2 linked regions of the Sus scrofa genome follow. The protein of the gene in region 1 binds, or shares a complex with, the protein of each later gene. Links are inferred from orthologs where the notes say so. Each region holds a gene or a part of one and is shown on either strand. Other genes may lie near its edges. The genes, in order: TAPBPL and major histocompatibility complex class I-related gene protein.

Region 1 (3,488 bases):
AACCCACTGAGTGAGCCAGGGAAGGAACCCATAACCTCAGAGTTCCTAGTTGGATTTGTTTCTGCTGCGCCATGACGGGAACTCCCACATTTTCAGTTTTATTACTGACTAGGCAGGTGACCTCGAGCAAGTTGCTGAACATCTCTAAGTGCCGTTTACTCCTCTCTGAAATGGGAGGCATGTCGACGGCGGGCACACAGCTGAGTGCTCAGGACGATGCTGGCTTGATATAGCTGCTCAGTTAATGCAGTCAGTCCTCGGGCTTCTTGGCCACCTTCCCCTCTTCCCACACACCCCTGCCTTTAGCCTGCAGGTCCCCCAGTTCTTTTTAGGTAGCTCTATAATTACATCTGTGCATGTGCTGTCCCTCCTGTCCCAGTGTTCCCTCCCCCCGGAGCCAGCCCACCTGGCTCGCAGGTCCCATCCCCTCCGCCTCCCAGGTCGTCTTCCCTGACTGCCTGGTCTCTCTCTCTGGCTGAAGACTTGTTCAGCTCTGGTCTCTGGCTCTCAGCAGTGCCTGGTACACTTGAATCTGGGGTGTAATAAAGTTGCAGTGGGATGTGTGGTGGGAGCTGTGGAGGAAGCCACCTTGGGGAGGAAGCTGAGACTATGGGATGCAGAACAAGGCCAGGGGGCAGGAGCTGCAAACCCAAGTATGGGGCTGGGGAAAGAAGGGCACTCCCTTACCTTGTGGGGCAACCCAGGTGTTGGCCACAAGGGGATCCTTCAGGGAGATGTGGGTGATGTGGCAGGTGTAAGTGGCACCCGCAGAGCCAGGATCTGCTGTCAAGGAGGAGGAGATGCTGTAGGTGCCTGCTGCGCTTTGCCGAAGGCTGGAGAAGGAGGCGTCGGAGACTGGAACCAGGGCTCCGCCCAGCTCCTCCCGGATCCACGTCACCGTCACATCCAGAGGATAATAGCCAGTGACACTGCAGATGAGGGTATGTGAATGAGCTTCATTCACCAGGCTCAGTCTTACTTTTGGGGCAGCTGGAAGAAAAGAGTGACAGAGGCATCACCAGGACAGCAGAGGAGCCTAGAGTCTTCCTCTCCTGCTGAGCATGAGAGCAGCTTGTGGAGGCTGAAGTTCCCTCCTCAGTGGGGTGCCAGGGTTGGGGAGGGGGTGAGGGGTCCACCCTGGATGTGGGACACAAGGGGCATAATTTTGACAGGGAACTGAAACATAGCAGCGAAATCAACCAAAAGGTGGCTTGCTTCTTAGCATCACTACAAGCCAGTGATTTTTTTTGTTGTCTTTTTGCCATTTCTTTGGGCCGCTACCGCAGCATATGGAGGTTCCCAGGCTAGGGGTCGAATCAGAGCTGTAGCCGCCGGCCTGCGCCAGAGCCACAGCAACGCGGGATCCGAGCCACGTCTGCAACCTACACCACAGCTCACGGCAGTGCCGGATCCTTAACCTGCTGAGCAAGGGCAGGGACCGAACCCGCAACCTCAGGGTTCCTAGTCGGATTCGTTAACCACTGTGCCACGACGGGAACTCCCAAGCCAGTGATTTTGAAGACTGTCGGTGTTGAAACAGTCCTCCTGGTCAGGACCACTCCCAGCCCCTCCTTGGTCTACCACTGCTCCTCCTTAGTATGTGGTCCAAAAGGACGGGGGTGACTGGAGACAACCAGCCAGGGTGGGGCAGCAGAGTCCTGGGCTGGGAAAGTCGCAGTGGAATTTATTATCCTAGAGTGTGATGGGAAACCCAGTCTGATGCCACCTGCACGTCCAGGTCGGAGATGGCATTGGGGCTGTGGGAATGTAGTCCTTGTGTCTGACCCCACCCCCAATAGGGATAACTCTGTCCTGGCCTTACCTTGGACATGGAGCTGGACAATCTGTTGAGTTTGGTACAGGGAGGTTGTGATCTGGCAGATGTAGGCCCCCTCATCCTTCACAGTGAGGCTGGGTAGGGTGAGGGTGGCGTCCCCAGCCATGAGCAGTTGCTCAGGGTCTAGGGTGGCGCCCTCCCGCTGGGCCTGCCCCTGCCCCATGGTGGTCCAGCTGTACACCAGATGGCCACTGCCCCCATGCTGCTGCCGCCACTCCACGCTGGTGAGGTCCAAGCCTGGGGCCATGGAGAAGCCACAGTGCAGGGAAGCTGTGGATCCTAGCAGAAGATTCAAGGACGGGGTCTGTGTTGTCACCTGGAACTCCACTGGGGGAGAAAAAGAGGGGTGACTGTGGGCTCTCCATCCTCGAGGCCACCTGATCTCAGCTGTGGCATGCTGTGGCGGGTTGAGAGGCAGTGTTGCAGGGTACAGCATGGTACACTTAACTATTCTGGAGTCACTCACCTCTTGCACAGTCTGATGGAAGTGCAAGAAGAATACACATGCAAAATTATGGGTTACTGTTGATCCTCAGGTAGGGACTCCTGGAGTAGCTGGCAAAGCTTTTTGAAGCCAGGCTCTTCCATTTACTTGCTCTCTGACCTTGGGCAAGCTAGTCAGTGTTTGCCAAGCTCCTTCTGCTTGGGGCAAGGCTTCTGAGGAGACTAAAGGAGTCAGAGTTTAAAAAAGCACACAGTGGTGGTACTTGAGCCAAACATGCTGAATCTCAGGCTAATGAGGAAAACAGTCAGACAAATGCAAATGGTGAGACATCTACAAGATGACGGCCTGGCCTCAAAAACGTCTGGGTCTTGAAGACTGTTCCAGAGGAAAGGAGGCTGAAGGGTCCGGACAGGTAAATGCAAGGCTCAGTCCTTGTTTGAATCCTGGAGTTCAAAAACCAAACCGCACCCCCAAAAGCTATAGGACACCACACAAGGGCAATTGGAGAAGGTGGAATTTGGACTTTATATTTGAGAGTGTTATTCTTTCAGTTTTCAAAGGCATAAGTATAATGATCAGGGGCCGGGGATGTGGGGACAGCACGCCCTGGCAAGGGGGAATGTTCGATCACTGAGATGGTTCAGAATTGCCAGGGCAGGGAGAGCAGTGAGAATATGCTTTTAAGTTACCTGCACACTGCACCCTCGTATGGCCTGCACCCCGGGTAGACTGCTCCCCACCTTGGGCTGCTGCTGAGGTGACGGTTTTATGATTATGGAGAACATTTTTGTCTTTGATTATAAACTAAGACATGCCATCCATGGAAGCATTTGGGATCAAGTGTAGAGCTATGTCAGCAGTTGACTTTCAATTAGTTAAGAAGGTGGGAAATACATGGCAAGAGGGGGAGGGAGGAGGAGGGGATGAGGCAAGATGTTAAGGAGGATTCAGTTGGGGAATCCAGGTGCATGGTATACAGGTGTGTATTATGTTATTCTTTCACTTTTTTGTAGGTTTGAAATATTCAAAAATGAAAGGGAGCAATACCTAGCCATGCTAGGACTATGGTTGACACTGGACAGACGTGAGGACTCCCCCTTTTTTTTCTTTTTAGGGTCGCACCTGCAGCATATGGAAGTTCCCAGGCTAGGGGCTGAATTGGAGCCACAGCTGCCAGCCTACACCACAGCCACAGCAACATGGGAT
Region 2 (3,813 bases), on another chromosome or scaffold:
TCCTCTTTACCTGTCCTTTGTAGGGTATCTTTCCCGTACTCCAGAAATCTCCTTAACCAGGCAACACATTCTTGTTCCAGCCAGTTCTTCTGATACTGTAACTCATGCCAATTGGCCTCCCATGCCTGCTTGGTGATGTGAGCCACATTATCCACAGCCATCCAGGAGAGCGTATCTTTGTTGAAGATAATGAAATCCTGCCCATCATATGCATATTGGAGAAATCCTGTGGTGCTCCCATCCTCCAGCAACTCACAGCCAATCATTCTCTGGTAAGTGTGAAGCCCTGGAACACACATGCAGGCAGGAGGGGACAGAGGTTTACGTGGGGATGTGGAGGTGGGTGCCCAGGTGCTGTGACTGGGGGCCTGGCTGGGAGCCTCCTCTGCCCCACAGGACATCACTGCACAGGCCTGCCATGGCATCACTGAGTCTCCAGGAGGGTCCTGTGACATAAGCCCACCTAACGACAGATACCTGCAGAGTACCCACTGCAGGCCAAGAGAGTATGCTAACCCCTGCCTTGGGCGTTATCCTGTATTGGGAGTGACCAATTGATAAACTTTTTAATACAGTGGAGGGGGCAGAGAGACGCAGGAGCCAGAAATAGCCCTGGGAAAGTTAATGTAGTAAGTAAGCGCTGGGCGCAGGCAAGCACCTGCCTCAGCCTGGCCACCAGGAAAGGAGATGGGCAATGGCCAAATTTAGGATGGGAAAGGAGAAGGTACAGGTCAGCAGCCTGATGGGGATGGGATCGGGATACGGGGCAAAGGGCTCCTGAGGAAGAAACAGACAATTTGGAAGCCGCACAGGACAGATGGCAGGCGCTGAACCCATCAGCCAGATTGCCCAGGCTTTGCCAAAAGAATGCAGCTCAGCAACTGCTCACACTCGCCATCAGCCCAGGGGCCTCTCTACCGGGATGGGGGCTGGAGATGGAAAGCATTCACTCCACTGCCTTCACCACCTGAGTGATTGTAGTGACGCTGCAGCTGCTTCAGTTCCGCCTTGAACGTCTGCTGCCAGCCCCGCAGCAGCTGCGTATACCTCTCCCAGTGATCGGGCTCCAGGTTCTCCGCCATCCACGGGGCCCGCGGCTCCTTCTGCCGAGAGACACTGTCATACGTGGTGATGGGGTAAGAATCCACGTACCCAACTGAAATAAATTCAGGCATCTCATGGCCAGGATCCGAAATGCCCAGGCGAAAATATCTCAGAGAGTGAGTCCCTGGAGGGAGGCAAAGAAGGTGGATAGTGAGAGTCACAGCGGATCCGGAGCCATGAGCTGCATTCCACTGAACCCCCATGCGGGGCTTCCATGTTCCGCTGCACCCGTTCTCCTGGGGACCCAGTTCCTCTTCCAGAAATCACAGAACCCCAGGTACTGGGTCCCGGATAGGACTTGAGAGCTTTAGCCAAGACCTGGAGTCTGTTCTGTTCAGGTTTGGAAATCTTAGGATGAAATTTTACAGGTAACTCAACTTGTAAGTGAAGTAAATATTCTGGGCAGTGGGGAAAGGGGCCCCCAGGAGAGCTGTCCCCCAGGGACCCTGAGGGTTTGAAAACTCTGATAACCTAACCCCTTTGTTTCACCACAGAGGCTCCAGGTAGAAGAATAAGGGCCCCACCTCATCACTGTGCACACACGTGTAGGTGTGTACACACACACACACACACACCAGGTGAATCTGCTTGACGGACCCCCAGTGAGAATCCACATCAAGCCTCCTGAGAAAAATTTTTAAAAAGCATAGTGTTTTTGCTGTTATACCAAACCAACACTCTCGACCATTTTTCTATTCTTTCTCTACTTTTTCTTCTGGCCAAACATCACCCTAAGAATTGTAATCATCACTAAGGGTCAAAAGTAGGCTAAAATGAAACAAAACTGGCACTCCCCGCCACTTCTGCCCTGAACTTCTCTAGGCTCAACCAAGAAGCCCCCGGTCTGGTGGAGACGGCAAAGCAGTTTCAAAGTCGTGGGAAGAGTGTCACGATGGGGGTCAGCATGGGGCGTTGGTGCTCAGGAAAGACTTTCCAGAGAAGATATGTCTTGGGGAGGTTCTGGGACGGATAGGAGGTGAGCAGGTCCTGAAGCTGGGAAGGGACATGGGAGCAGAGCAGAAACCACGTGTGCCGCAGCAGGGAGGAGAGCATGAGCTGTGGGAACCGATGGCCTAGGAGCCCTGGAGCGCAGTGAGCACCACAGGGGAGACTGGGAGACAGGAGGCCTAAGTGGTAAGCAGAGCCCAGGCTGGAGGGCAGGGGCCCCCACACCATGCAAAGACCTGGCAGGGGAGGGCAGGCAGCACCGTGGCTTCCTCCCCCACCCTGCTCGCTATTGGCTGGAAATGCGCATCTCTGAGCCTCTTGTCTTGCTTCGTCCTGCCATCCTGACCCATCTAAATCCTCCTCAGTCATCAAAACCCATCTCTTGAACACTCCCAGAACCAGCTCTGACGTTTGCATGGCTGAGTCAAGAGGACAAAGGAGGCCCACATTCCAGAGGGCCAAATATTTAAAAGGAATAAATCAAGCTAATAACCTGTTTAACATTTGACAAATAGCCCTTCCTGTGACCTCAAAAGGCCAAGTTCACATTGAAAAATTTCAAACTTTGGGGTGGCACAGAACAAGCTGGCCTCCATTCTCCAGCCCCCAGCCCTTGGCCTAGGAACCATTGCCTTCTCTACCTACCCCAGCTCCACCAAGCCCTGCCAAAGGCCTTGTACCCATATGCAGGCACCCCTGCTTGCTCATTTAGGTTTCAGCCGCAATCACTGCCTCTTTGCCACCTCTTGAGCCTGGCAGAGGCTCAGGCAGGATAGTCCATCCTTAGGAGGGACCAAAGGAAGAGGCCTATGTAAACCCAAGCAGCCCCGAGTCATCTGGGCAGCGAACTGCAGGTCCCAGATACCTGCGGGTGGTACAGACATGGGGTGAGCACCTCCCCTTGGCCTCAGGGACTCTTGGCTCTGTGGGAAAGGATGTGGCTGGGGAGTGCCAGAGCAGGCCCCTCTAAAGGGTAGTATCCTGTCCACGGCTTCCCTTGCCTGTGTCCAAGAGCTGGGTTAGACACCACTCCTCCCAGTTTCTTCCAGGCGGCCTATCCCGCTGCTCTCGCTCCCTTCATGAGTTCCTGCAGCACGTGAATCTTCAGGCGTGACCCTCGTCACTGTGGAGAAACTCGGATGGGTGTCAGACTCCCATCCCTTGTGCTGATCGTCCACTCAATGATGATCACGCCTTCCTCTTCACTTATAAATATGTATTTACTTTAAAGATATATTTCATTTAAAAAAATGGTTCACAAAATGGCTGGGCCAGCTTTTGTGCATGCAAGTCTGTCTGTAATTTCCTTTTTTTTCTAGAACTCCCTCGTGACTCAGGGGGTTAAGGATCCAGCATTGTCCCTGCTGTGGCTCTGGTTATAGCTGTGGCACAGGTTTGATCCCTGGCCTGGGAACTTTCATGTGCTGTGGGTGCAGCCAAAACAAAAAACAAAAAACTTGTCATAAGAGGCAGGCTAAAGAATGGGGAGCAGAGCTGAAATCTAATTTATATCTGGTCTGGAGTCTGCAAAAGTTGTATATGCTTGAATCTGTGACTGATTTTGCAAATGGTTCTATTCCTTCACATCAAAAGGTTTGCGGCTCCTTAGCAGATAAATGCAGCTATTTAAAGATGGAGGCAAAAGGAAAAGCAAGTCGTGAACATTAGTTCTTAAACTTGCTTAGTATCCGTCTGCGTATTCTACAAATTTGAGTGCCTCCTGTGTGCCAGGCGCTATTCCAGGCCCTCCCTAAGTACACC

Evidence for each region.
Region 2: the proteins of TAPBPL (region 1) and major histocompatibility complex class I-related gene protein are in contact, whole or in part, in an NMR structure (PDB 7RNO), measured with the Homo sapiens proteins. The link is inferred for Sus scrofa from reciprocal best matches to the Homo sapiens genes TAPBPL and MR1. Residues at the interface, in NP_060479.3 of Homo sapiens: His47, Arg48, Gly49, Ala50, Ala52, Ser53, Ser54, Leu129, Met131, Thr132, Glu133, Thr135, Arg228, Gln230, Lys232, Gly233, Arg234, Gly235, Thr280, Ile282, Gln293, Ile295, Gln297, Arg307, Leu308, Ser309, Ile320, Cys321, Asp322, Leu355; in NP_001372090.1 of Homo sapiens: Arg101, Arg104, His105, Asn107, Thr129, Gly130, Phe131, Leu132, Gln133, Ile143, Phe144, Asn145, Asp147, Thr148, Leu152, Ala153, Val154, His159, Thr160, Lys162, Gln163, Ala164, Ala167, Asn168, Gln169, His170, Thr213, Phe214, Pro215, Asp248.

What each region holds. Positions count from the first base shown.
Region 1 is NC_010447.5:64,190,712-64,194,199, forward strand, and holds part of TAPBPL (tapasin-related protein), read right to left. Parts: intron 2,165-3,488; coding exon 1,823-2,164; intron 991-1,822; coding exon 688-990; intron 1-687. UniProt on the Homo sapiens protein: Component of the antigen processing and presentation pathway, which binds to MHC class I coupled with beta2-microglobulin/B2M. Association between TAPBPR and MHC class I occurs in the absence of a functional peptide-loading complex (PLC).
Region 2 is NC_010451.4:122,598,858-122,602,670, reverse strand, and holds part of major histocompatibility complex class I-related gene protein, read right to left. Parts: intron 1,229-3,813; coding exon 968-1,228; intron 287-967; coding exon 11-286; intron 1-10. UniProt on the Homo sapiens protein: Antigen-presenting molecule specialized in displaying microbial pyrimidine-based metabolites to alpha-beta T cell receptors (TCR) on innate-type mucosal-associated invariant T (MAIT) cells.